Lonchura striata: one gene and its partners. The protein of the gene in region 2 purifies or fractionates together with the protein of the main gene of each other region. This does not show direct contact. Links are inferred from orthologs where the notes say so. Each region holds a gene or a part of one and is shown on either strand. Other genes may lie near its edges.

Region 1 (7,501 bases), on a different chromosome or scaffold from region 2:
GGATGTTCCTTAAACCAACCTCCTTGGCTTTCCTTTGGGATAGGCTGGAGCAGAGGTGCCCACCCACGTGGGGCTGCCCTTTGGAGGCCAGAGAAGATGAATGCCTGGCTCTAAGACAGGGTCTGCTGCCTCCCAGGCAGTGTTGGAGTTGTCTGAGACAAACGGACCTTGGCAGGGACAGCACGACAGCGACTGACACACAGAAGTTCAGGGTCAGGCTGTGTTTGCAGCATCACCCCACGACCCTGAACAAAAGGCACTGAAGAAGCTCTTCTTTCCATGCTTCCTTCCTCTAGGAGTGGCAACTGCTGTCCCCAAACAGGGACGGGAAAAATCTGATAGTTTAATGATGCTGCTTGTTCAACCTTTCTGTTCCTACACAAAGTTTAGTGAAGATGTGAGGAAGAAAAGGCCCCACACCAGGATCTGTAAGATGAAGGTGTGATGGGGGACTGATGTGTAAGATGCAGGTGTGATGGGGACTGATGTGTAAGATGCAGGTGTGATGGGGGATGTGCATCTGAGAGTACAGCAGAGGAGGAAAGAAGCCACAGCAGGGCCAGCAGCAGCTCCTGGCTCAGGGCATGGGCCTCCCTGCCCCAGCTCAGCATCTGTCTGTGTCATGGTGCTCCCCCAGCAGTGGGGCTGGAGGTGTGCAGAGCTGGATTCTGACACAGCCTCACTCAGCTGCTACTTCCTCTAAAGAAAGCAATTTCAGTTTCTCTCCTTTCCCTTTGTCCCCAGCCACACTGGAACCCTGAGGAGGTTTGCAGAGGCAGTGATGGGCATGGAAAGGGTTATGGATAGGGGGGAAAAAAGCAAAAATAGGAGCTGTTGCAACAGCCCCTTGCAGCCCCCTGACCTCTGTCACTGCACAAGGCAGGACATCCACCACAGGCAAAGAGATTCCAAACTGGTAAAAAGCCCTTCAGGGTCCCAAAGCCACAGGAACCAGCACACAGTGACCCTGCCCAGTGCCCAGCAGGGCAGCAATGTGTACCAAGGTGCTTTTCATAAGAATGGTTCTTAAAGAAAGCAGGGACACGATGTTTGCACCTCAGAAACAGCTGCAGAAAGTGGAGCAGAGCGAGCTCTGATGGTGACTCTTTGCACGCTGAGATTGAACTCCCAGCTCCTGCTCTCACCTCCAACCACCAAAGGATGCTCAGCTTCTACCAGAGGCAGCTGCAGCACTTTGTGGCTTTCAGGGCAGTGTTTCTCACACAACAGGAATTCAAAACAAAGAAGTTTGTTCTGACACCAAAGTTTTTAAAAATTTTAATCACATTTTCTGAAGCTGTTTGCATTGATAGCAGCTCTTCTCCCCTCCAATAAAATGTAAAAGGAGACGGAAGAGACCAGGAGGAAAGAGATGTAGCCACAAGAAGAAATCATATTCAACAGCTTTTCCTATCCCTTGCTACTCTTTTTTACTGACTTTGTTTCAGTAGAAATATTCCAACCAACTCTGCTTTCTCCCAGATGGGAAGGAAAGCTCCAACTTCACTGCTGGCACAAGGTTTGATTCCTGACTGTGTCTAGCGGGCCAGGTGAAGGTTTGCTGCGCAGATGGAGGCTCCAAAACTTGCATCTCTTCCTTCCCCAATTGCAGCACTGAAATTCGTGGGTGGAGGAAGATCCTTTCCAGCTCTCAGCCAAGGACCAGGCACCTCAATTTGCCTTTTTTTTAAGCCTCCAGCAGCTGTGCTCCAGAGGTGGGTTCGAGGACAACTTCTTGGCCCAGGGAACAGCCCTCAGCAGGTGCATGCCAAGGGAAAGGGAAAGAAGGAACAGGGAAAGGCAGCAATGGAGCAGCTCTATGGGATTTAGCTCCCCATTAAAGGCTAACAATAGGCCACAGACTACCCCACAAGTGCCCTATATTTAACTCTTTCCTTACTGAGCTTATTTCTAAAATATGGAAAATTTCCTTTTTTTTTCTATCTTGGGGCCAGCTTGGTTTGAGCACCCTGTTTCTAAGCCCTGTAAAGAACACAGATGTGGCCACACTCAGAGTGCAGTGTGTGCCTCCACTATTTGTCATCCTCATCCTTCCCAGCCCAACTCCTGCCTGTGCTCTGCCAAAGCCCCTCTGCCTGCTCAGCCTCTCCAGAAAAGGATTCCCTTTGCCACAGAATGGAGGAGAGGAAGTTCTCAAGGGGCTCCCATCCAGAAAAAGCATTAAAAATCAGCTCAGACAAAAAGAAAGACAAGGACTGTGTAAAGGCAAGGAGAGAAAATAAATGAGGAAGGCTCCCCCACAAGCCTCAGGTGTCTGGAGACACCAGAGATGCTCAGTTACGTTGGCCAGGAGAGGAGATGAGAACGTGGCACTCAGATCCTGAAGTCACTGACCTCCCAAGGGAACAATTAACCACTGCCATGAACTTCCAAAGTGCTGAGCCCCGGGATTCTCTAGGTTCCAGGTAATTGCTTCTCCCTTCTCTTGCCCACTAAAAAGAGTTGAGTGGGAAGGAGTTCCTGCAGAGCAGTGAGCAGCTCTGCTGACACCAACCACAGCAGGACCTTTCCTAGTGCTGAGAATTTCCCCTGCAGGTTCTCAGGAACAGCTGGAAATGAGTGGCTGCATTTATCTCAGTGAGACCCCACTGCCAACATCCCAGCAGAGCAGCCTAAATCATCTTCGTTTCATAGCTCCTTTCCAAGGACTAAAATACACTTTTCTCCTGTCAGATCAGAGCTGTCCTGCCCTCACTTACATTCCTGGGAGTTCTCAATAAAGCACAGCCAAGCCCTGGGACTCCCAGTCCACGGTGTCCCCATGAACTGTCCCACCCTGAGAGGGCAGAGACTGCTCAACACAATTCCTCCACAGCTCAGACACAGAATTTTGAAAATACAGGTGAATCACAGCACTCAATCGTACAGTAACTGTCTCAGTGAGTAAGACTTGGTTACAATCCAGTATTAGTAAAAAACACTCCATATCTCACCTCACTTGGTGACATTGTTAACTAGCAGCCAAGACAGGAGGAAAACTGATTAAAACTGAGATAAAAATCAAAACCCGCTTTTGTGAAACTCATCAAAAGTCACGATCAGACACAGTTAAACACTCCCGGATTTATCTTCCTGTTGCCCAGGCTTTGTTGCTGCCCTGAATGTTCCACAGCCGGCAGCTCAACAATGCGCTGCCACGTTTAAACCTGGAGCAGCAACAGTTGTGGTTGTGCAACGCCGGATCTGCGATTGTTCTCGGGGCTGCATTGTTCGAGCCCCGCTTTGCAACGACCACCCTCCGCTCTTAAAAAAATCCCAGCAAGCCTTCCAACTCCAGTCATTTCAGTGCTACGATTTTCAGAAGGATTTCATGAGTATTTCACTCTCAACGATCTGTACGATCGCATCTTTCTAGCCACGGCAGCGGAGTCGGTTTTGCTGTGAAATTGCATTGCCAAACAAGTCGGCCGCTGCCTATCACTCGTTTTACTCGTTTTATCTGGTTTATAACCGAGAAGCACTGAAAGATTGTGCGAAGAGGGGAGAAAGAGCCCAAAGGATGTGAAGTTTAAGGGCGAGACAAAGGAGCCGCTGGACTATGGACTGGGGGGGTTGCACTCTGTGGAGCTGGAGAGGCGATCCCGCAGGACAGGGGGGCACGGCGGAGCAGCAGCGCTAATCCAGCTCCCCAAGTTTCCTCCCGTCCTTTCCCCCTCGCCCCGGGCAGCGGGAAGGGAGGAAAGGGGCCAAAGCAACGGAGAGGGAGCTTACCTGTGCACTTCCTCTTAAAGGTTTCGTAGTCTACCCCTTGGTCTCCAGGGACGATTGTAGAGCCATTGTACTTAAACGTCACCCTTCGGAGAGGGAAAAGACAAGGGGAATAATACAGTTAAAAGTCAGCTTTCCGGATGGGGGAAAGGAAAGGGGAACAACGCATTTAAAAGTCACCCTTTGGAATGGAGGAAGGCGAAGAATACACTGAACAGTCTTTAGGAAGGGAAAGGAGGAGGTGGGGAAGAATAGGCTGTGAAAAACCCATCCTTTAGGAAGAGGGGAAGAGGAGAAGGGGGCAAGGTCTGTCCAAGTCACCCTCTGGGGAGCGGGGAGAGAAGGACGAGGACCCCCAGCGCACCGCCGCCCGTGCGGGGGGATGCCGACCTACCAGTTCACCTCGGTGGCATCGTCCCTGACGAGGTTGTACGCCTCCCTGCACGCCTCCTTGTCGATTTTGGTGGCCATGGGGGCGAAGGGGAGGGGGGCAGCGCGGAGCGGCGCGGAGCTGGGGGGGCCGCGGCCGCCGCTGCTGCCGCACCGCGCCGAGCGAGCCGAGCCGAGCCGAGCCGAGCCGAGCCGAGCCCCGCCAGCCGCGGCCGTCCCGCCCCCGCCGCCGCCGCCAATGGCTCTGCGGGGCCTGGCCCGGCCCCTCCCGGCGCGGGGGGACCGCGGTGATGCAATAGCCGGGGGGACGGGGCCGCGGGGCCGCGGGGCTCGGCCCGGCCCGGCGCGGCGCGGACCCGCCGCGGGGATGCTTCGGCCGGCCGCCGCCGCGCCGGCGGGCCCCCGGTGCTCTGGCTGAGCGCCGGGAGGAGGAAAGAGGCAGAGGCGGCGCCCGCGATGGAGAAGCCGCCGGCGGCGCGGCGGGGCCGGGGGCCGGGCCGGGCGCACGGGAGGTAGCGCGGAGCGGAGCAGGTGAGCGGGGGCGAGGGGCTGTGCGGAACACCGGGGGCTGTGCGGAACACCGGGGGCTGTGCGGGGAACCGGGGGCTGTGCGGGGAACCGGGGCTGTGCGGGGAACCGGGGGCTGTGCGGGGAACCGGGGCTGTGCGGGGAACCGGGGGCTGTGCGGGGAACCGGGGCTGTGCGGGGAACCGGGGGCTGTGCGGAACACCGGGGGCTGTGCGGGGAACCGGGGGCTGTGCGGAACACCGGGGGCTGTGCGGGGAACCGGGGCTGTGCGGGGAACCGGGGCTGTGCGGGGAACCGGGGCTGTGCGGAACACCGGGGGCTGTGCGGGGAACCGGGGCTGTGCGGAACACCGGGGGCTGAGCATCCCCCGCATCCCGGCCCCAGCGCTCGGAGCGGCCCCGGCCCCGAGCGGCGGCTCCGGCGTGACTTTGGGTGGTGACAGCCGCTGCTGAGACGGGTGTGTGCGGGTGGCCGTGTGTCTGTCCGTGTGTCTGTCCGTGTGTCTGTCCGTGCCTGTGTGTGGGAGTGTGTCCGTGTCCGTGTGCGAGCGGCTCGCCCCGTTCCAATGCAGCGATCTCCCCCTGCCGGGCTCCCGGCGCTGCCCAGGAGCGAGCCCGCATCCCGGCGAGTCCCTGCGCTCCGCGGAGATGCTGGGAGGCTGAGGCTGCCTGCAAGGCTGCGCTTCAGCCCCACAGAAATAGAGATTTTTCGGGCTTTGCAGAACCCTGCTGGGAATAAACAGTACCGGGTGATGTCGTTGCCCAAGGACTGGAGTTTTACAAACCAGTCCTTAGGCATTTTAGTGGATTTCTACCCAAAACCCGTGTGACATGCAATTTAATAAAAAAACTGCATTCCTTGATAAAAAGCAACACAATTTGTTTCTTTTGCAGTTTGCAGGGGATGACCATTGCTTGTTTCCCATCAGTGTTGTCCATGTGAAGGCTGAGCAGTAGGGGCCTCATTGCCACACTGAGTGCTGTCAGACATGAGGGACAAGACCTGCAGAGCGAGCCAGGACTGCCAGGGACCCTTTAGTGGCACCGAGGCCCAGTGCTGCCCGCAGCTCCTTCCAGCTGCAGCCCCGGCCCTGAGTGACGTGAGGCTCCCGGAGCTCAACACGGGCGCTGCTGCAGTGCATCTCTGATTCGATGAGGTCATAGGGAACAGGGAAGGATTTCTGAAGTCAATACAAGTGTAGGACACCGGGTGAATCACACTCGGTATCTGTAGGCTGCAGGCTCTAGATGATAATATAATCACCCATTAATACGTCTGGATTTATATTGATTTTCTTTGCTTTTAGGAACACTTCCATTTTTCAAAAGCCTTTATGCAGAGCATTATCTGCTCATGAATGTATTTTTTGTGGTCTGTGTTTATCATCCTTTGGCACTTGCTGCTGTTTATACCTGTAACACTGCTGCTTGTCCTCGTCCTTGTCCCTTCAATCCCTGACCCTCAGCTCCTGATGTTTGCTAGTGTAGAGGAGGGTGACTCCAATGTCATCCCCTTAGGAGGAGAGAACCTCATCCTTGTGCACATCTCTGTGACCCCAGTGGCTGGAGCATTAATTCTCTTAATTAGGGACTTCATGCCTCACACTTTTCAGTGCCAGATCCGAACATCAGAAATGCACATCTTCCTTGTGGGGCCAAAAATCTTCTTCATTTTGCTTCTCTTTTTTGTCTTTTCTCACTTTTCCATGGATTTTTTTTTTTTTTTTTTTAATGCATGGAGGGATAAGTATTGTGCTCAGTTTAATCAGGCTGTAACTGGAGTGAGGAAATTACCTACATTTTGAACTTGGTGAGCTCTGGTTTGCTTTTCATATAGCAATTCTGAGACCTCCAGAACATGGGGCTTTCGTTCTGTGAGGAAGATGTCAGTGGCCTGGCAGAAATACCTGTCCATGTCACATGAGTCCTTGGAGAGGAAGCACAAGAGAAAACGAGGACTTATGGACCTCCTCTAAAAAACATCTCCAGCAGGCATGGAGTCCTGGGAGTCTGGAGTGACCTTCAGCTGTCTAGAATGTACCATGAGGTTCAGAAAGGGTCTCAGAGAATTTGGAGGGAGCTGAACAAACAGGATGGCTCTGCACAGCCATGGGCACTCAGGAACTTTAAAAGACACCCCTGCAAGTGCCTTGTCCCTGTGTCTCTTTGCCATCTCCCCCACTTTTTGCTTCTTCTCCAGTCTTTCTCTATGTCTGTCCCCAATCCTGCTTCTCCATTCCTGGCTTTTCTGTGCAGAAGCAGGAATGGAGAGAACAATGCTCTCCTTCAGGAAGATGCTGCCCTGAATTTTCAGGTCACAGTTAGCATTGCCATTGTCAATTTACAGGTGACAGTATCGGGTTGTCAATTTACAGGTGACAGCACTGGGGTTGTCAATTTTCAGGTCATAGTATTGGGGTTGTGAATTTACAGGTGACAGCACTGGGGTTGTCAATTTACAGGTGACAGCATTGGGGTTGTCCATTTTCAGGTCATAGTATTGGGGTTGTGAATTTACAGATGACAGCATTGGGGTTGTCAATTTTCAAGTCACAGCATTGGGGCTGTCAGTTTTCAGGTCACAGTTAGAATTGGGGCTGTGAATTTTCAAGTCACAGCATTGAGGTTGTCAATTTTCAGGTCACAGCATTAGGGCTGGCAGCAGAGTGGGTTTTCACTCAGACAGTCGAGGGTCTTTACCCAGGTCCTCATGGTCACACGGAGAGACCAAAACTGGCAAAAACACTTTTTATCTCCAGACTCAATAATCAACAGATGAGTACAAGTCCATCATCCTCTCTGGTTTCCTGGGGTGTCCTTGGCTGCTGCCCCAGCCCTGGAGGGTGGCAGAGGCT
Region 2 (7,185 bases):
CATGCTTAATATGCTTGCTATGTCCAAAGGGATAATTTGTAACTTGAGCAATAAGGCAAAATCTCCTTCAGAATCTTGACCAGATGCCATCTCCTAGAGAACTAAGAACAGACAGAATGATCCAGCAATAAGAATTTACAGTGACTTGTCAGTGGCTCTGTTCTGTTCAGCTGAAGTTCCTCAACATATTCATTGTCATAAAATAATAATAGGCAATAATAATATAAAGTAATAATAGGCAACTTATATAAAACATCTTTACTCTGTCATTTTAATTAACCCTACTGCTACTGTTAGAAACAAAGCATATTTTTGTTTTCTTGAATAGATTTGCTACAGTTCTTAACCAAAGAAGTTACATTTAATAAAATGAAAAAAAAAAAAAAAGTTGAAAAGGATCATAAGTGATTTAGAATTTCTCGATAATGAAACCTTTTGAAAAATATGGAAAAAATAGGAATGGTTGTTTCTTACACAAACTAGTATAGCTGGTATCACTGAGTTTATAATCCACAATATTCTGGAGTGCAATATTTTAGGGTAAAATTTAGTACTAAGCTAACATTAAGACAAAGAGAAAATATTCACAAAAGTAACAGACTCAAAAGGTGTAAAATGCAATAAAAATTCCACATTTACCCAGCATATAAAAAAATGTCATTTATAGGCACTGAAAATATTAATTATATTTGCATGCAAAAAGCCCAAGTGTCAGATTCTGTACCTGGGATGAGGCAGCCTTGGATGTATGGAGAGACTGGGCCAATCCTTGCAAGGTACTCGATTTGCCCAAGTCTGGGAAGAATCAGGTGCCTTTCTCAGTGTCTCCAGAACACAAAAACAGTGTTGCAGTGAGGAAATCCATGCTGGAATGAGAATCCATCCAGAATGAGATACTGGAAAGCAGCACCACAGAAAACAACCTGGAGGTCCTGGTCGATGACAAGTTGAACATGAGCCAGCAGTGCCCCGGCAGCCAGGAGGGCCAGCCCTGTCCTGGGGGCATCAGGCACAGCATGGCCAGCTGGGCAAGGGAGGGGATTGTCCTGCTCTTCTCTGCACTGGGGTGGCCTCACCTCAAGGGCTGGGGACATTTTGGACACCCCATATAGGAAAGACATGAAGCTCTTTGAGAGACTTCAGGGCAAGGACAGGAGGTTGGTGAAGGGCTTTGAGGGGACACCATCTGAGGAGTGGCTGAGGTCACTTGGTCTGTTCAGCCTGGAGGAGACTGAGGGGAGACCTCACCGCAGTTACAACTTCCTCGTGAGGGGAAGAGGAGGGGCTGGCACTGATCTCTGCTCTGTGGTGACCAGTGACAGGACCTGAGGGAATGGCCTGAAGCTGTGTCATGGAGGTTTAGGCTGGACATTACAAAAAGGTCCTTCACCCAGTGGATGGTTGGGTACTGGAACAGGATCCCCAGGAAAGTGGTCACAGCATGGAGCCTGAAAGAGCTCAGGACTTGTTCAAGCCAGGACTTTCGACTTTGATGATCCTTGTGATTCTCTTCCAATTTACGGTATTTAAAATCTCTACGTGAGAGACAAGATAGCAAAACCTAGCAGAAAGATAAAACTGGCATAACCACTTTTCTTCCAGTCATTTTCTCTCCTTCTGCATTTTTTTCTTTAAAGGTTTGATGGTGTAGAACTTTAGTGCATCAGCATTTGGGCTTTGCTAATAATGATTTTTGTCTTGCTGGCATTTCTTGCTTTCCACTTACATTTTTTTTCTCTATCCTCAAATCTCCTGAGTCACAAGCAGATACATTTGGAGAGTCAGACCACCAAATGAGACTTTTTCTGTGTCTGTGTGTGTACGGCACCCCACCTCAGATCTAAACTCACCATTAAGGGTACACAGAATTTAAAGGGATCCAGAAATGACCTCTTCCTCTTTCAATTAACTATGCAGTCATCTGATTAACATTACTAGTTAATTTACTAAATAAAAGAATTGTTGGAATCCTAGACACTGAGAATTTTAAACTTTCTGTGCTTAAAGGTACAGACCCACAAGAGAACACTGCATTTGACCTAAGGTTGTAGAACAGGCTTTTAAAATTTATTAATAACACTGGGATTACGAGTGTGTAGTTGGTTAGAAGTAGGGTAGGAAATTTAAGAGTTTGGGATTTTAGAATATAGAAATAAGTATAAAGCAAGATAGAAGTTTTAGGGTGCAGGCAGATTGTTCTTTTTTACCTTCTTCCTTCTTCTTCATAGGTTTAGGTGATGTTTTGTGATTAGACAGAAAAGTCTGTATTCCAGACTTCAAAGGGTCAGTTATTAGATTAAAAAGGAAAATAATTTAAGTGTCCTTTCTTAATTGGATAGTTTAGTTTTAAAAGACCTTGTAACAAGAGTTAGTTAATCATTTAGTACCTTATTAATGAAAAAGCTGCTCTATTCACAGTAGTGAGACTATAACATAGGTAAGAAATAAGAAACACCTAAGTTCAAACATAAAATACCATCTCAAGTACCTTCAATCCGAACCTCGAGAAATCGATAAAGTATCACTCGTGAGCTGGCAAATGAAAGCATAAATTCTTCCTCTTATTAGTACTTAGAGTAAAAGAAACTTAATTCACAGTTAGAAACTTAACACAAGCTCATTTTTCCTCAGTTCCAAACAATATTTAGTAAGTACAAAATCTATTGTCTAAAGGGCTGTATAATTGAAATACATTGTGAAAATGATTAGTTAAGTGAACTAGCACCAATAGCAGGAAACACACAATGCTCTGATGAATTACTTTTAATAATGAAACAGAAATGAAAATAAGTTTGTATCACAGGTTTCTCAGTAAAAGCTGAAAGAAACGCAGATCATCAAGGCAGACTATCTTCCATACTCTGGAGGAAAATCTCTCCTCGATTCACGACGTGTAATAAGGCTACGTATATTAAGACTGAAGCTGCTGCAATTGTTCACACAGCAAGCATTAAAATCAGTTCATTCTCCATTCAATGCCTATCCACAGCAAGGCCAACGGGCCTCTCCCACCTGGCTGCCACGCCTTTGAGCTCACTTCCTCATCTTTACTTCAAGTTTTCCTTGCTAGGCAGGATCTGTAATGAATAGGGCTAATGCCTTTATTAATGTTCAGCTCTTTATTAAAAAGATCAGCTGGGCAGGGGGCCTGACACGGAGCTCGCCCCCACTGTTATAGCTTTACCAGGTAGCCACAGGGGAAGGAGGCATGCATAGTCTGTAGCTGAAGTCCAGAGCAGCAGCACGCCCCTCTCCTTTCCTCGTGGTAATACTAGGAAAATCTGCTTTTGTTACTGCTTCCCACAGTCCACTCCAGTCTAGTCTTCCGCAGGTGATGGTGACAGGTCAAACATCGATCCTTCTCCCTCAGCCAGCGCACCTGTCCAGCCCCCTCTCTGTGTTTAGCTCTCCACTTAGGGGTGTCTTTATCCCCCAAAACACGCTCTCATGGTTCCACGGGCTCCCCTATTTGCATCTTAGTCCTAGAATGGCGGGGGGGAAGGGGAGGGGAGGCAGGTAATCTCCAGGTAGTTTAGACAGAGCAATTAGCTAATTAACATTTCAATATCAGTACTTAGCTAGAGCCAGCAGTGTCCCACTATTGCCATGGGAACCAGGAAGGCTCTTTTGTTCATTACAGGATCGATCTGCCTTTTTATTATTTTTTTCCCTAAAATGAAATGCAAGCAGAGAAAAAACTGACCGAATGGCAGTGAACACTTAATGACGGAATCTTTCGGGGAAGCGTTGAAGTCAAACATCGCCGTCCTGCGACTGAAGCAGCTGTAGGAGTCAGGGCTACAAGACCTGTGTCCCATCACCATGGGGGTGGTCGGTGCCTTCCACTCTTCCCACGTCTCTCCTCCACCCCTTCTGCCCCCAAGCTCGCTCCCAGCCGCCTGCCGGCCTCCAGCACACAGGTGATGTACTCGCTGCGGCCGCCCCGCGACGGACCTCTCTTCCTTCCTGGGTCCCAGACCCCTCATTCCCAGTAATCTCCTTCTTTTGGAAAACTTGGGTGTTCTCCGAGGAAGCTCCCATCCGTGTGCCTACTTGCGCCTCCCGGCCGCCCCCCCGCCCGTGTGCCGCTACCCCCGCGGCAGGAAGGCCAGGGCGGGCCGCTCGCAGCCCGCGCGAGCGGCACACGGCACCTGGGCACCGGCACCCGCCTGGGCGCAGAGGCGGCAGGGGATGAAGGTGAGGGCAGAAACGAGGCACCCGCGCTGCCCAAGCGTGACCGCGGGGATTTTGGCACGGCGGCCTACTTCTCCTTTCGCTGACGCGTCTGCCTCCTCCCCGCCCGCCTCCGGCAGAGAGATGCTGCTGCAGGCGGGTGGGTGTGCGCTCCTCCCTGCGTCAGGAGGTGCGGCTCCCCCGGCCCGGCGCTGCCCTCCCCTTTCCTCTCCCCCCGCCGCTCTTATGCCTGTCTTTAAGCGCCGCCGCAGTGAGGGTTGGGCACATGTGGCTGCCACCGCCTGCCCGCCGCTGAGCCCCGCGCCCGCACGGCCCCGCTCGCCATCCTCGCCCGCGGGGGCACCCGGCCCCCCCTGTTCGCAACGGGCGCCCGGCGGGCGGAGGTAAGGCACGGCACGGCATGGCAGGGCACGGTACGGCACGGTACGGCGCGGCGCGGCGCTGAGCGCGGTGCGCGGGCGGCCCGCGCTTTCCCAGCCCTGCCATGCGGCCGCGGGAGCAGCGTGGCCGCCTGGCCGTGTCGCCGGGCGGGAAGGGGCAGGATGAGTGTGGGGATCCTTTCCGCCGGCGGCCGCCTTCCTGTGGCTCGGGGGTCTCCCTAGCCCGAGCGGGACTTTGGCCGTGGTGCCAGCCTCTCGCTGGCGCGGAGAGAGCCGGCCCCTCGGGAAACAATAGCGAGCGCCGATTAGAAGCCGCCCATGTGTTTTAAGTTGGCGGTAGGTTAAAAGGATGTACGGTGCTGTTTTAATCGCCGTAATTATTATTATTATTGCTGTTGGCAAGGGCGAGAAACACATCTTTTTTTCGAGCGAAAGAAATTTCATTCATCTCCCGCGTGTTGCGTAAAAAATCTCAGCCGCATGTGTAGCGCGTGTTCCGGGAGCAGCGGGGCGCGGGCTGTCTCCCCGCCGGGAGCACCCGGTGATGTGCTCGCCGCACGGACGAGCCCGGGCTCGGGGAGAGCAGGGCCAGCCGGCCGCTGAGGAGCCGGGTGCCGCGGGTCCATCCGCACCATGTGCCGCGGGCGGACGCGCCCCAGGGCGCGGGCCGGGCCCGGGCGCTGCATTGTTGCTGCGGAGCGTGGGCGGCGCCCGGCGGGGCTCCCGGTGCCTCGCGGCGCCGCGCCAGCCGCGGCTCTCGCCCCGCGAAGGCGGGGGCACCCCGCGGCCGGGGGCTGCTGCGCCCCGGTGTCAGCCATGTTTGGGTGGGTATGGTAATGAGAACCTTCTCCCAACCTTCGTGCCTCTCGGATTTATTTTCTGTGCAGGATTTTGATGGTTGTAGCCCGCCGTGTACCACGACATGTCCACAGGGTAGATTCATACCTGCAGTGTTCTAGTGATTCTTTTCCTCTTTGATTTGCTTATTAATCCGTTTAATTTTCTGTGCCCCTATTGCCTGGATTTTTTATCATTTTGCTAGTGTTAGAGCGAGCTGGAACTTCTTTGCAAGGCTTTGCTTTTGTGGTGGAAGTAAATGAGATGATCGTAATACGAATGCACAGTCACACTGACCTGGCACGCATGAGAATTGAGGGTATGGGGTGATTGGATTTCATCTATTTAAGTAAATTGCACTGCGTTTTACTTGTTAAAGACCACATTATCATCAACTATTTTATTTTCAGTGTGCTGCTGCTACATAACAAGCTCATTGCTGTAGTGTTGTTTTCTAAGATAAGCCTAATAATTTCTAAATAGTATATTACCATCTGTGTGTCACTGTGGCATATCACAGGATATGGACCCAATTTCCCCCCTACAAAGAAAAGTGCAAATGAAGTAAAGATTTTGTTATCTGATGTCATATAAATATATGCTGGATGTATTGTGCAGGCAGCTTTCTCGCCATTTGATTAAAAACTGATGACAACATAATCAGGTTTTTTTCTGTTTAGCAGTATATTTCCCATTATCAGCATCACATTAGAAAGGAAACTGTGAAAAATACTTAGGAAAGATTGCTTAATTTTGTTTTGGCTAATATACAAGTTTTTTGTTTACCCACACCCCATATTAATATAATCATAGACTCACAGCCTGCATGCGGTGCATATTGGACACTCCCTTTGGGCTCAGCTCTGCACTTCAGACTCAAGAACAAAAAATCCCATTGGTTTTGATCTATGCCTGAAAAACCAAACCATTCATAGCCGTTCAGATGTGTCACCAATACAGAAAGCTGATTATGTGAATCTGCCAAGGCATCTTGAAACTAGTTTTATAGCATAATCTGATTCTTTTTGACTTTTCATGTCTCGTCATTGTTACGGTTGTCTTTTTTCCATATTGCAAAATCCTGCATGCACAAGATTTTTAAAATGCTGAATTAGTGAGGAAAAAAAAAAAATCACAAATTACTCAGAAACACAATCTACTCATTGCAGCTATTCCTTTTTTTCAGATGACATTGTTAAGGAGTAGTTGCTGCTCAAGTGGTATGGAATTACCACTTGTAGTGTTTGTGGTAGAATCTTTCTGGGAAGATTTTATTTTGGAAATTCTCTAGAGTACTGTTCCAGAAGTATACACAATATTAAGGACATTTTTACCCGTTTTCCCAGCTATTTCCCTTATTCTGACCATTTCACTCATCTCCATTATTAATGTTCTTAATTAAAAGACAAAATACCTGTTGATTTTGGAAGAACAGTTTTCAGTCCCAAATGTTAATAGATCGGCATAGCAATGGTAGCAGCTTTTACACATGATTTTAGAGATCTCTGAATTCTCAGTTGCAGAATAACTTTGACGTATCAGCAGGTGGCCACTTGAGCAACTCCATTTGTCCTTGAAAATTGATTCAAAGTAACCTTGCCATTACTCAGGCAATGTGTTGAAATAATTCAGAGGGCAAAAAGTGTCACTGACAAATGACAACCAAATGCTATTCTACTGAAGAGCTTTAAGCACAAATCCTGGTGAGACAGTACAAAGGGGTGTGAAAATGCAGTGGTAAGTGCCAGAATGGTTGCATTAAGCAACAGCAGTA
Region 3 (7,351 bases), on a different chromosome or scaffold from region 2:
ATGTACTTCCCCTTGTGATCATTAACCAAGCTGCTTCACTTTTCTTATCACTGCAACAGCTCCAAACACCCCAAGCCCAGGGAATGGGGGCACACTAATAATTCTGAGCAACACCACACCCATAAGTAGCAGCAGTCACAGAAGATTTATTCCACATTTTCTCAAGCCTTTTTCCACTTAAAGGGATCCTAAGAAGTGTCATTATCTTTCCTTTGATTTACTTACACAGTTTCCAACTTATGAAATAATTTAGGCTCATTTCTCTGTCTGGAAAACTCAATAGATTAATTAAGATAATGAAGCAAGAAATGAGCCACTTACAGCACAGATTAGATTATAATCATGGCAATATACAAAGTGTAATGTTAACTGGTTTTGTCTATAGCTAACACATTATAAGCTACTTCAACAGATTGTGTGCTGAATATTTAAATGACACAAATATATCTGTACAATGAACTTTTGAAAATAGTGTGTTCAAATCCTGTATTGTAACTGTATTCTTCCTTATTTAGCAGCTCCACAATGTGAACTCTGCTCAAAAAATCCTCAGAAGAAAACTCAACAAGCCACACTGAGAAAAACAAATATTTTTTAAGCACCAATCAGCAAGGCCATAGAGTCAGGTCTAACATATCTGTCTTATTTATTAGTAGCAGTAAACCTTACTGAAAAGCCATGGGCTCAGAAAAATATTCACATGTTTGGAAATTATCCTTTTTTATGTCTAAAGCCTTTCAGCATACCTAATGTAGTAAGTAAAAAACTGGCATTTACAATACTTTACTCGCTCGAAGTACTAAAAAAAATAATATTCTAATTACATTATTAATGATAGAACCACTTTCTTCAACTTCTAAAATAAATAACAGCAAAGTAGCACAGCAACAAGGATGGAGTATAAACTGGACAGCCTGGTAGAGAACAGAAGTCCTTGACACTTCCCAGCCACGTTCTCATTTGTGTTTGACTTGAGCCCAGCCCCAGCTTTTGACTGTCTGGCCTGGAGGCTCATTCAGGCCTCTGGATTAAGCAGTCATGAACTACTTCTGGCAAACACAGAGGCTTTATCTCTCTGGCCCTCTCATGCCTGTGGCTCTACACCAGCCTGTCTGCATCCAGCTTCCTGCAGGACAAGCATGTTTGCCAGCTCACCCCTCCTGCACAGTGAACAGGGAATGCCTTACCCTGCCCCTCAAGCTGCAGTGGGCAGCAGCCAACACCATCTCATCGTGGGTGAAAGTCACTCCCCTCCCACTTGCCAACAGCAGCTACAGGCCCAGGGACCAAACAAAAGGGCAGCACCTGTGCTCCTACACGGGGACACACGGGGCTGATGCAGGGTTAGACCACAGCTCAGACAGGTCAGGCTGAGCAGTAGCAACAGGGCAGGTCCAGAGCCAAAGGATTTAGGTATCCATTATGCTGTCTGTCAAACTAGCATAGTCTCTAGTATTGCCCCAGTGAGGAAAAAACCTGAAAGGCCCTGCTGTACCTCACCCATCTGACATTAGCACTGTTAAATGTTCCATGAGTGACATGAAGTTTCATGTGATACCTAGCCTTACCCTAGACATACTTGGGTTTTAAATATTTCTAGGTTCAATACTATTTAACTACCATTGCCTTGGCTCCTGAAGGAATTATCCTCAGTAGTTTTTGCACTCTGTGTACTGGTAGACACAGAACTAATGCTTGAAGTCCGAGAGTGATTCTGAAGAACAGGTGCCTTGCTCTTCTCCTTTTTAGAATCTATCCTTCCATTAGGTTCTTTCTCTGAACTGTTGAGAAAATCAAATAGCAACTCATCATCAGGTTCTGACTTTTTTCTTCTCACAAAATGTGAGGCAGCTCTGGGTGTGGAAGCATTTTCTACTGGAGAAGCTGCCTCTAAGGATGTCCTACGTGCTGTTTTAACATTTGCTGTTCCTGCCAGCATTGTGGCCTTCTGGTGTTTAATATTTTCAGCTGCTGAGGAGATGTAGGCTGCTTTAGATGAGGTCTGGTATTTCAGTTCTCCAGTATGCTGGTGTGCTTCAGAATACTCGTTGGCAGAGTCCAAGTTCTTCTTATCATAAACCACACTGCTTGATGTGTCTTTTTTGCTCAGAGCTGATGCAGCTCCTTGATCAACTCTGTTGAGCAGATCCTCTGCCTTTCCAGCGAGATCAGCAAGCCAAGACATGATGAGTGTCTGTTGATGAAGTCTGTACAATTAAGATTTCAGGACCATGTACTGCAAAAGACAGAAGGATTTACAAATTAGATTGCTGCTGCTAAGGCAAGATGTATTGTTTATCTAAACTGGTGTGCAAAGGTATTAGTGCTGCAGTTATTGTAATACTTTTCTTCTGCTTATTTGGTATTTTGCTCTTTCGGTAACTAAGGGAACTAAACCAAACCAGTTTCTGAAAAAAACAAACAAAACCTCGGTTTTTAAACCAAGGTTGTTAAAATCAGACCACTGCATCAGTTGCTGGTATCTTCGGCTGCTACAGAGTATCACAAAGAGAAAACAACTACGCCTTAAGCCGTTTGGCCTGCAAATTCCCAACCCGGCTCAGGCCAGGATCCTCTCCCCCACAAACTCTGCAGCCCGCTGCCTCTCCCGTGACACGGCGGACAGCTGCGTGCCTTCACCTGCACCAGGGGCCTGCGACACCACGGTGGGGGCTGCGACACCACGGTGGGGGCTGCGACACCACGGTGGGGGCTGCGACACCACGGTGGGGGCTGCGACACCACGGTGGGGGCTGCCCCTCTAGCCCAGCTCCGGGAAGGCGACGCTCACAGCGGCCGCTCCCCCACCCCCAGCACCGCCTGCCCCCCGCCCTCCGCAGGCCCGGCCCCGCTCAGGAGCGGCGGGGGCCTCGGCCCGGCCCGGCCTCACCTCCTGCAAGCGCGGGGGGCGCTCTGGCCCGAGGGGAGCCGTGAGGGGCCGGCGGCGAGCGCAGCCCCAGCGCTTCCGGCAGACGTGGCCGCCTTTCCGGGGGCGCCGCGCGCAGGCGCAGGGGAACCGCCCCGCCCCGGCGCGCTCGGGCCCCGCCCCGGCGCGCTCGGGCCCCGCCCCGCCTCGCTCGGGCCCCGCCCCGGCGCGCTCGGGCCCCGCCCCGCCTCGCTCGGGCCCCGCCCCGCCTCGCTCGGGCCCCGCCCCGGTGCGCTCGGGCCCCGCCCCGGCGCGCTCGGGCCCCGCCCCGCCTCGCTCGGGCCCCGCCCCGCCTCGCTCGGGCCCCGCCCCGGCGCGCTCGGGCCCCGCCCCGCCTCGCTCGGGCCCCGCCCCGGCGCGCTCGGGCCCCGCCCCGCCTCGCTCGGGCCCCGCCCCGGCGCGCTCGGGCCCCGCCCCGGCGCGCTCGGGCCCCGCCCCGGCGCGCTCGGGCCCCGCCCCGCCTCGCTCGGGCCCCGCCCCGGCGCGCTCGGGCCCCGCCCCGCCTCGCTCGGGCCCCGCCCCGGCGCGCTCGGGCCCCGCCCCGGCGCGCTCGGGCCCCGCCCCGCCTCGCTCGGGCCCCGCCCCGCCGCGCTCGGGCCCCGCCCCGCCTCGCTCGGGCCCCGCCCCGGCGCGCTCGGGCCCCGCCCCGCCTCGCTCGGGCCCCGCCCCGCCTCGCTCGGGCCCCGCCCCGGTGCGCTCGGGCCCCGCCCCGGCGCGCTCGGGCCCCGCCCCGCCTCGCTCGGGCCCCGCCCCGCCTCGCTCGGGCCCCGCCCCGGCGCGCTCGGGCCCCGCCCCGCCTCGCTCGGGCCCCGCCCCGGCGCGCTCGGGCCCCGCCCCGCCTCGCTCGGGCCCCGCCCCGGCGCGCTCGGGCCCCGCCCCGGCGCGCTCGGGCCCCGCCCCGGCGCGCTCGGGCCCCGCCCCGCCTCGCTCGGGCCCCGCCCCGGCGCGCTCGGGCCCCGCCCCGCCTCGCTCGGGCCCCGCCCCGGCGCGCTCGGGCCCCGCCCCGGCGCGCTCGGGCCCCGCCCCGCCTCGCTCGGGCCCCGCCCCGCCGCGCTCGGGCCCCGCCCCGGCGCCCTCGGGCCCCGCCCCGGCGCGCTCGGGCCCCGCCCCTCCCGCGGGCGGGAGCGGCGCTCGCCGCGCGCCCCCTGGCGGCGCTCTCGGTGAGCGCGAGGCGAGAGGCGCCGGGAGCTGCGGGTGCCGCAGGAGCGCAGGATCAGCTGCGCTGGGAAAGAGCTCACAGACCAGCGAGCCCAGCTGCTGGTGCCAAACCCCCAGTGAAACCGCATTCCCAAGTGCTGCGCACTCCTGACCGTCACGTCCTTCCCTGTCATCTGTGACTCAATGTCTGCAACCTGCAATACTTGAATCATTTCAAGATTTACGGCTATTATCCCTCTTCAAATGCTTATTCTGAGTAAGGACAGCTGTTAAAGTATACATAAACTACGCTTAAGATACACTTAAAGCACTACATAAGGTTTTGTTATTGTTCATCCTCTCACCTCCCTTTATTTATTTCCTCAACCTTCCATACAAACATATCACAGTTAACCACCACAATTCACAGAGAGTTTCTACTCATGCCTGAATGAGCAAGAATGTGAGTGAAGGCAACACTTGTATCAGCAAGAATGTGAGTGAAGACAAGACTTACACTACTGGCATTTACAATACTTTACATACTCAAAATACTAAACAAATAATATTCTAACTACATTATTAATAATAGAACCACTTGCTTCAATTTTCTAAAATAAATAACAGCAAAATAGCACAGGGACAAGGATGGAGTACAGACTAGACATTCTGGTAGAGAACAGAAGCCCTCAGATCCTCCTCTGGTTGAGGACCTCTTGTCCTCCTGATTATAATGCTGAATGCATGGCTGGTGACTTACATCCGTGTTTCCCACAGCCCTAGTTGTTATCTTGTCAGATCACATCTTACAAGTATTCTCTGATTAAATTCACTGCTAGGCTGTTATCAAATTATCTGAATGTTTACAGAAGTTTCCTTATATCTTATCATGGTACTCCTCTTCCAATGCTGAACACACAGTATTTGAAAAGATTATGAAGAGTTCCTCTGTAGGTCAAAGGCTTCAAAATGTTTCTCTAACAGACATGAATTATCAATTATCATTGGCCATCCTTAGGACTTAAGCCCAAGCAGGAGACATCAGCCCTGCTGCCTATTCAGAACATACTCTTGGCACTAGTACTGGCATGAGTTAATAGAAAATCTATCCTGCCTCACTGCAGATCAAGCAACACATTGAAAATAACAGTAATAAACCAAACAAATTCATAACCTTCAACTTTTACATCACGTGAATCAGCTGCACATAAGCATCATTTTAATTAATGTGAATGTATCACCTTCTCAGGCACTAAGAAAAGGAAATATTTTTAAGAGATTTTATTAATTACAAGTTTATACTTAACTTGTTTTACTTAAATTGTTCACCCTTCAAAACACATGACCAATCCTTTCAATGGAAAAATCACATATGATTGCGAATATTTGAAGTATTTGATCATTACACACTAAAGTGACATGAAAAATGTTCAAAAGAAACATGAAGGGCCAAAGCCAAATCCCTAGTTTATCTCTGTCTTTTACAGAGGGGATAGAAACAAAGCATATTTCAATCCCGAAAATATCCTATTGCATCACTGCATCTAGCAATCCCTTCTCTGCATTAGAGTGTGAAAACCTGTTTAGGAAATATACACACAGCAGAAATGGATAACCAGCAAGAGGAATTCAAATCACATTTTAGCATGTACCATTCCACTCTAGAGCCATTGCATTGTTTGACTGAATCATGTTATAGATGCAGAATAGTTTAGATAAGTAAATGGCTGGACAGAAGTGCCTTTTATTCAAGATTAGGCAGACTCCTAGGATCACATCTGAACAGTCCACAGGCTGAGAATTTCCAGTCCTTGCAGAGGACATCATTATTTACCTTGAAGTAAATTCCATGGCAACTCTCTTTCCCTGTTCATTCTAAATGTTTAAAACAGGAATCCTGTATTCATAAAGGGATTGGTAAGAGTGGGGGAAAACAAATCCTTTAAGTCCTGTATAGATTTTATATTGAATTGTTCAGTTATATAATCATTCCATACAACAAATCATACTTTATGTGTAACCTGGGAAACATTTATTCCCTCTGAATGCTCTGATAAAACGTAGTAACTCCACTACATTCCCCCCACTATTTAGAGTCTCACATGTGATAATCTCTGCAACTGCCTGATTTCTAGAAGACATAAAGGTTACAGCAAAACTACTGAAATTTGTTCTATTTACATTTTCACAATCACTGACAGTCTCCAAAAATAATGTTTTTATTTATAAAATTATAAAAAATATAGCAGAAAGTTTACTGGCTGAGACCTGAATAGTTAGTGATATCTCTTTCCTTGGTGCTTCTTTAAGATGCATTTTTATTCCCATAACTGATGCTCTGAGGTTTCGCAGGGTGGGGAGGAAGATAGAAGAAGGAAAGAGAACTTGCTGCTTGTTCCACTGACCTATTTATAAAGTCCCTTAGGTCTGCTGTGTCAACAGTTACTTCTAAGAATGCTGTGACTGCCAGGCTGAGTGGTGAGAATATTTAATTCTGTCACAAGGGGCATACAGCTTCATTAACTACCACTGAAAACTTTTCAGGTGTCTTTTCAGTTTACAGGTGCCCTCCCCAGGGTCCAGGCCCTGATCTGAGATGCTACACATCTTGCTACATAGTTTGACAGGTTCTGGCTGCAATTCTCTGTCTGCAAGTACAAAAAGGGCAAGATTCATATCTAGCTGTAAAAAATTAGACTTTCTGTACAAAGCCTTTAGATCCCTATTCATACTCAAAGTAGAAGTAATTTTAAACTATAATTTACAGGCATTATTTTTGCCTATTATAACTCTCATTGTAAGGAAATTTAAATAACAAAGCTGGAAAATATCTGCCCCAATAACTGTAACACAGCAAGATTAACTTACTCTCTCAAAACTCATTGCAAGAAAACATTTGGGGTTTTAGGTATGATTTTTTTTTATTCAAAAAAGAGGCAGGCTCTGCAGTTGAAAAAAAAAATTAAAATTACTATTTTCCACTTTGACCTGATTCACAGGTTCTTAATTGTTCATTAAGGTAAATTTATAGGTAGAAGAGGCAAAACAGATACATAGTCACTTGACTTATACTAGGTTAACCTCTTCTCTAAGTATACTGAAATAAAACTTGAGTGGTTAGCTTCTGTAAAAGACTGTGCTGAAAACCATAAAGTACAAAAAATACAACAACAAAAAATACAATTTAAAAAATGGGTCATGACATCCTCAATCAGCCTTCTTTTTCATGTGTCATGATATATTAATACACAACTACATATCTGGTCTAAGGGTTTTGATTCATGCAGT
Region 4 (7,317 bases), on a different chromosome or scaffold from region 2:
GCTATCAGCATGTCTTGTCCTTCCTTAAAATCCTGCTGTGAATGGAAAAAAGTTTCTTTTTAAGTGGTTAATTATATTGACCTGGAACTTTCGGTCATTAAGGAGACCATGGAGTTCTGGAATAATACTTCCATGTTTTTTCCTTCCCTGTTTCCTCTCTCCCAATGCAGTAGAAATCCAGGCTGCCAGATCATGGTCAACAGCCAAAGGAGGTGCCATCCTTGTGGCCTGCTCCTTGTATTGGTGTCACAAATTCTAGCACGTCTGCTGGGTTGGTTGGTTTTAATTGAGCTGGATTGATTAATTCCTAGAAACCTAAACTTCTAAAGTCTGTAAATTAAATTGTTTGAGGTGGGGCATGCCTGGGTGCTGTGTTTATGAAGTGCACAGTGCTTATAAGCCCTTGCTGCTGCTGGAGACAACACACAAGGCTGCAGCTCCGTCAGTGCACATTGCCAGGCTCAAAGGCTGTGTGGAAGCCAAACTACTTTTATTTATTTTCAGTGTAATAAGAATTAGAAGTCCATGACAGCAGACAGTAAAATTCCACTTAGGATACAAAGTGAAGCTGAAAACATCTGACTCCTTGTATAAAACGTACCAATTTTTACAGTGAGTTATAGCAAATACAGTGGTAGAGAGAAAGCATACCCTGCCTGCAGCCAGAAGACAGATGACAGAATGCAGAATTCCCCTGAATGGTTTGCTGGCTACCTGCCATTCCTCAACAGCACAAGATAAAAATGAGCACTGGGATAACCACCCTGACCCTATTTACTTGCAATAATACACTGATATTTACATGAAATGGAACTGTTTGATATTCTGAAGCTGCCCAGCTCCAGTGACAGGAGACAAATGAAATGCTACTTTTTATTAAATCTGACCTACCATAAGCCAGTAACATATGCAGTAACTTAGCAAAGGGAGACTGGGGCTGTCTCATGAGGTCCAGGCTCTCTTCCTGGATTGGTTAACAAGATTTCCCCCATCCTGCAAACCAAGTTTGCAGCCGTGTTCCATACCACCAAATCTTGAGTGGTGCTGATAATTAGGAGGGATAAAGTAAGCATGGTCAAACAAACAAAAAACAAACAACAACAAAACCAAACCAAACAAAAAAACCCCAAAAAACAAAACCAAAAAAACCCAACCCAACCCAAAACACCCCCCTACCCCCAAACAAACAAACAAACAAAAAACACCCCAAAAAATTTAGGAAAGCATTGTGGTAAGACTGATCCTTTTCCTCTGTCTTTGATTCAATCCAACTTCCATTAAAAAAATGTGTTACATCACAGAGTCATGTTTATTTGGACAATAAACATATTCTTGGTAGTGACTAAAAATACACTGTTGCTAGTATTAATATGTCAAAAATTAAGAATCTCAGCAACTTCTTGCAAAGTTAAAGAAAAAAACCCAAACATTTTCTCATTGGATTTTCTGGATCCATTTGGATTTTCGCATCCATTTGGAACATATGATTTAGATAAACTTGAAGCATATCACTTCAACCACAACTTTTTTGGTATGCACTGTAATTTGTGAAATAAATTGAAAAATAAGGATATATGAAAATGTTTTCTTCCAAGTATGGCAATACTGGTATATTCTCATGGGATTTTTCTTTTTGAAAAGTACTCTATTAGAAACATGACTAACTGTAGTCTTTCTACATTAAATAGGCCTTGAAAAAATTAAAGTATGGAAAATATTTTAAACTGACACTTTTTCTGTATCTTCAATGTATATCATACTGTCTTACCCATACTGAAAGTAAGGTCTTAGTGCTTGAACAAAAAAAAAAATCCTCCTCTCTTAGGAGAACAGGCTCATTGGTCAAAGTAAGGCAGAGAAATTTTATGCCCTCACAGATTAGAGTGCAAACAAATAAAATGTAATGATGTAATCAATTTGAAACTAAATTTTCAGTAGATAGATGATCAGCAGTCAGCAGTTTATAACAGCTTTATCTTTAAAAGGCAAAGGTCACTCGGTAAGGAGAGCAAGTAGATTTGTTGGGTTTTTTTTAATAAGTCTACAGTTTTTGCAGTTAACAGCCAACTATTCTTCAATGGGAGTGCAAGATCTGTGCAAAGGCTGAACTTCAGCACAGTCATGAGAGGACTTTGGTAGCAGCTCTGTCACCAGGAGGCTGTTGGACGAGCAGGCATGTTTCCTTCCTGCTGTCCCAGGCAGACAAGGTGGTTTTTCAAGTAACTCAATAACAGAATTGATTTTTTTTTCTTCCCATTTAACATTAATAGCTTTGTGAATTATTCATGCAAGCATGGAGGGGAAGCCTGGATGCAATAAATAAGAGTATGTGTTTATGTGCAAATCTTGCCTCTGTCCTGGTCTGTTTAGCTCACACAGCATGGCTGCCTGTGCCTAAACTGCCTCCTGTCATGACACATTTTCACAGTGTTTTTCCCCACTGTTGCATAGTGAGAGCAGGGCTCAACCCAGCCACCTTCCTCTCCTCTTAAAACACCAATGCTGGTAGAGGCTGTTCCCTTCCTGCTCTTTGTTTATGGAGCCTGAGGACAGTGCCAGCAGGTCTGATAGCCAGGCTATTGAAGCAAAAAAAAAGCAATGCCTTAATTCCATGTGATGAATATTACAAGGAGAGGTCTCCAAAATCTTCTTTTGTTACTCCAGGTAGACTGATGGATTCCAGCCTTCTGAGACTCAGGAATTTGCCACACGCCATCAAATTTGACATATGGTGTGCCATTTCACTAAAGAAGAGGTTAACAAGCACATGGACTAAGTCAAATTATTTTCAGTTTTTAAGATTTTTTTTCTCAACAAACCTACAAGGCAACACTTTGCCTCGTACAGGATTATCTGTATTGCAATTAGATGCCATTAGTTGCTGTTTAAGGTACTGAAGGTACTGAAATTTCAGGTAGATAGATAGTATGACCCATTACTGTAAACACTGCACTGTTTTCCTCAGGATCTAGACAGCATCTACTGTTGCTGCTTGGGCTACATCTGTCCTTTGGATGAAGCATTTTGTTCCTTAACGTCAGATGAAAACAAAATAACCAAGCCTTTGGCCTCTGCCATTTACACCCCAGATGAAAATTCACAAGCAAGTACTAAAAAACCTGTATCACTTTCTGCTTGGGAAGCAACAAAATACAAAATTAAAATATCTTAGCCATATCTGTGTTACAAATATCAGCCAGTCTGGAAAGCAATATTCTTTTGATTTGTTTCTGTTCTGGGCTCTGGGCACTTTTCATTTACTTGAATCTACACATCTTTGTAATATTTTAAAACCACTTGTAGCGCAGATAGTAAGAACTCTTTTTTACCCTGTGTATGGCACTTACAGGTTATGGCCTTGATCCTAACTGGGTCTTATGGGCATGATCGTAACTAAACACTTAGAAGAATAAAGACACTGAAGTGTTGTTTGGCAATATCAGATCCAGTTGGACAATTGTGGTTGTGTCTAGAGGCTTCATCAGGGATCGTCCTGCTTCTGCCTCAGAGCAGTTATTTAACCAGATGAGGCAAAGGGTAGGAGGAGAGACACCAGAGCCAAAAATAGGAGCCAGAAAGTAATGCCCTTGTCCACATGACTCCCAAGGAAATAGTTCTTTAGGCCTTGGACTCCAATCTAGGTTTTTCATTGGATCCTGAGCACTTGGCTCTCAGATACATTTCTGATCGTCCAAATGCGAAGAGGCACACCAGACATCCCATTTCTATGAAACAGTTGTGAAGGATTGCCACAGAAAATATGCTGACTGCCTTTTTCTCAGAAAATGATGTTATTTCCCTTTCCCCGGAATGCTTTTTCAAGGCTGCCATCCCTCTTCAGCCTTTTTCTCCTAACTCCGCTTTCTTGGTACGGATTGTGTCACGCCTGGTGCTGCAGGGCTGGCTGTGCACAGGCAGAGCCAGTTGTCACGAAGTCTCCTTGCTCTCGGAGAGGGCCTAATGCCGCTGCGGGAGCCGGACCCTCAGTGAATCCCTTCCCTGCTCAAACCGGGAGAAACACACAGCGCAGCCCTTGCTCCTTTTCCTTTCTTTAGCTATTCCTGCCCACTTTGACATTGGCAGAGCCAGGAGCTTTCCCCGGTTTTCCTTTTCACTCGCGCTGCGCGGGCTGCCCGCCGCCGGCCCCCGTTGCAGCCGTTCTCCCCACAGCGGGCGCCCCGCCCGCCGCCGCCACGCCCGGCTCCGGCCGCTCCCCGCCCGCCGGCTCCGCCCGAGCCACGGCAGCGCCCACACCGCTGCGGGCGGGCCGGGGCGGGCCGGGGCGGCCGAGGCGGGCGGGGGCGGGCCGGGGCGGCCGGGCCTTTAGGGCCGGCGCTGGCGCTGCGCGGCCCGGCGCGCCATGGAGGTGGCGTGGGCTCTGGGGCAGGCGGGCGCCGTGTGGCTGGCCGCGGTGCTCGGGCTCATCGTGGTGCCCTCGGCGCTGGGCATCTCGCTGGGCATTTCGGAGGCCTATATGTGGGTGCTGGTGAAGACGCTGGAGGTAGGCGGGAGCTGTGGAGGGGAAGGGGGGTGTTGCCGGCTGGTTTCCCCCGGGGCAGCGCCCGTGCGCTCCGTTCCCGTCGCGTCCTCCTGGGGGTCACGTCCTGCCTGGCAGCAGCTCTGCTCGGCTGCAGCTTCGGGCTTAAAGCCCTCGCGTAAAACGAGAGGTCTGCGTTAATTTTGCGGCTGTGTAGGCTCAGGAGCGCTGCCCCTGAACCCTGAGCGGAATAAACCTTGTCACCTAAGGCTGTACCATGGCCTGGGCGAGGCTGTCGCTGCTCGCTGGCAGCTGCGCTGCGCTTGGGCTAAATGGTAGCGGGTCGTGCTCTCGGAGGGTGTAAAGGTCTGCTGCCAGCAGTGCTGATGCTCAGAGGAGGCGACTCCCATCCAAGCTGAGCCATGTACAGCGCCGCAGTTGCCGGCTGCCTCTAAATTTTCAGGGACACCCAGTTTCTCGCGGAGGAACTGCTTTCTGCACGGGGCGTATTTAATATGTGTGCAAAAGCTCTCCTTCTCAAGCTCATGGTAGTGGTGAGCAGTGGTGTTTTTAAATTGTTGTTGGACATGATAAGATTTAAATCTTTAGCACGCTTTTTCCAAGGAGGAGGGGCACCCAAATCAAGGAAACAGCTGTAAGGAGGAAAAGTGAAATGACCCACAGCATTCAGTGGCCATGCAATATACATCACTATGTGACTATGGAAAGTAGATTTTGTCCAATTTCATCTTGTTCTTCGAGGTTTTCAGGCAAGGCTTGTACTTCAAAAAAAAATCCCACCTATTAAATCGGCATTTGTTAAATACATCTTAAGCAAAATGTTTCTAGGCTTTTGGGTGAGAATGAATCTGTTCTCCGTAATTTCTGGGACTGTGAATGGTATCAAGATAACTGTTGAGGAGAGAATATGCAGTTGTTAGTGGAAAAAAGGATTTGAATAGCAGGAACTGAGGTGGTAAAGATCACTCTGGCCTGAGGGAGCAATCCAGATGGCCCAGTGAGATAGTCTTGTTTGGATGACTTGCCTTCACCTGTGAATAACCACAATTTACATTCTTTATTCCTAGATCATTAATCATTATTTTTTAGTGTCATCAAATGTTGCAACAAGAGGTGAGCCAATATGTTTTGCGCAAAATTGTGGAGAAGTATCTGGCGGCGTATTGACGATGGTTAATTGTGAGAGCTCTCCTATTGCCTTAAGGGAGGAAATAATGCCAACTTTGTGGAGTTATCGTTACACTTGCGAGTTTTTATTACTTTTGCATTAAATGCTTTCTGGAGTTGCATGCTGCTCAATATATTAAAAATTAAATTAATACATAATTATATTTGACATAGATATGATATAAACCAATGTATATATAAAGAAAAGGCAATAAAAAATTGGAAAGTATTCTGAGAAGAGTCATCTAAATTAGACTGCTATGGGAGAGTGAGGAAGCTCAATCCGCCCAGGTATTCTGCTTATCTCAACTTGGCCTTGCTTGCCTGTGAATTCTTTGTCCTCAGAATACTTGTGCGGGGAGAATCCCTGAAAGGAAGTGGCTTGTTGTGGGATGTCTCCTCTTCATTTGCTCACAGGTGTGTCTTGGTTAGAAGCCCAACAGAGGATGATTGTCTACAGCCAGGTCCTGGCAGCACCTGCAAGAGCACCTGATGTGCAATATCTAAACTGTGGCTATTAATCAGTAATATTGGGAAAAGTACTCTATCCTTGCAGGTCAAACTTTCAAGAAGTCGGTTATTTAAATAATTTGGGAAGGTCTATTTCTTTTTATAAGGGATAGTTATTAATAACTATTGTGTTAACAGTGAAATGTGCTGCTAGCTGGGCTGCTGAAACTCCCTGGGATGTTGAATTGAGAGTGCATGTTTTTTCCTGAGAAGAGCTTTTTGGCTTTGAGGTTACAGGATGCTGAAGTCTCTGATGGCTGAGGCCTTTTTCAGCTGTGTTAACTTAATAGCTTCCTTAAGCTTTCTCTTCCGCTCCCTGCCATGGGGCTCCCCAGGCCTTTCCCCCTCTTTTCCAGGAGGGAGGGTGGGCTCTCACACCTGCAGAGTGTTCAGTCAGGATGTTGCTGCTTTTGTTGCCTCTTTAATGGGCCAAATTACAGGAACTGTCTGCAAAGTGGTGGCTGTTTGTGCATCCCAGGTGATACCCTGGCTTTGCCTGTTTTTATCCCCTGTGTAGTGGAAGGACACAGTGTCTGTGATTTATTTCTTACATGGCCTGTGTTGTCAGCTTACAACGTCTGCTTTATTCGAGTTAATCTATTTTGAGGGTCCAAGTCTGTCCATAGTTCAGGGACAGTTCTACAGTTTGCTGTGATACCTCTTCAGGTCATGTCATGCAAAACAAGACATCCAAGAATGAGTCTGTGGTGTTCAGTTGTGTAGGCTGTGGGATGGGGCAAGTTATGATGGGGGGCTTGTGCTTGAATTTTTTTCTTGCCAATTAAAAAAAACCACCTTTTTCTGCTTGTTTCAGGAGGGCAGAAGCTTGTTCTTGGTGCTACAAGTATGATCTGAGAAGAGGGAGAGGGAAGCTCCTTTTAGGAACAAGGTGTTTTTGTACTTTCACCATCTGGTTTTTCTGACAAGGGACAGCAGTTGCACAATAGATTTTTCTCTCTGCTCAGCTGCCTCAACAAGCATGCGCTGCTAAGACAACGCAGCATGTACAGATGAGGATGTTCTGCTGTTGGGTTGCATTTGACCCTTAAGTACTGCACTAGGGATTACCAGCTTTATATGGATATATTTTTTCCTGTGTGATTGTATTTTTTTTCCATGTGATAAGGGAAAATGTGTAGAAA

What was found.
Region 1: the proteins of SLC6A15 (region 2) and KLHL36 purify together in Homo sapiens (co-immunoprecipitation; 3 studies listed by BioGRID and IntAct, counting the BioPlex papers as one, with this or other methods). This does not show direct contact. The link is inferred for Lonchura striata from reciprocal best matches to the Homo sapiens genes SLC6A15 and KLHL36.
Region 3: the proteins of SLC6A15 (region 2) and GOLGA5 purify together in Homo sapiens (co-immunoprecipitation; 3 studies listed by BioGRID and IntAct, counting the BioPlex papers as one, with this or other methods). This does not show direct contact. The link is inferred for Lonchura striata from reciprocal best matches to the Homo sapiens genes SLC6A15 and GOLGA5.
Region 4: the proteins of SLC6A15 (region 2) and glycerol-3-phosphate acyltransferase 3 purify together in Homo sapiens (co-immunoprecipitation; 3 studies listed by BioGRID and IntAct, counting the BioPlex papers as one, with this or other methods). This does not show direct contact. The link is inferred for Lonchura striata from reciprocal best matches to the Homo sapiens genes SLC6A15 and GPAT3.

What each region holds. Positions count from the first base shown.
Region 1 is NC_134615.1:20,615,760-20,623,260, forward strand, and holds the start of KLHL36 (kelch-like protein 36), read left to right. Parts: upstream 1-4,485; 5' UTR 4,486-4,650; intron 4,651-7,501. Other genes in the region: COTL1 (coactosin-like protein), read right to left, coding at 3,733-3,815, 4,124-4,200.
Region 2 is NC_134607.1:50,534,611-50,541,795, reverse strand, and holds the start of SLC6A15 (sodium-dependent neutral amino acid transporter B(0)AT2), read left to right. Parts: upstream 1-4,175; 5' UTR 4,176-4,197; intron 4,198-4,405; exon of another isoform or gene 4,406-4,577; intron 4,578-7,185.
Region 3 is NC_134608.1:15,951,484-15,958,834, forward strand, and holds the start of GOLGA5 (golgin subfamily A member 5), read right to left. Parts: upstream 3,017-7,351; 5' UTR 2,891-3,016; intron 2,237-2,890; 5' UTR 2,186-2,236; coding exon 1,621-2,185; intron 1-1,620. UniProt on the Homo sapiens protein: Involved in maintaining Golgi structure. Stimulates the formation of Golgi stacks and ribbons. Involved in intra-Golgi retrograde transport.
Region 4 is NC_134606.1:66,493,266-66,500,582, forward strand, and holds the start of glycerol-3-phosphate acyltransferase 3, read left to right. Parts: upstream 1-4,311; 5' UTR 4,312-4,360; coding exon 4,361-4,501; intron 4,502-7,317. UniProt on the Homo sapiens protein: Converts glycerol-3-phosphate to 1-acyl-sn-glycerol-3-phosphate (lysophosphatidic acid or LPA) by incorporating an acyl moiety at the sn-1 position of the glycerol backbone.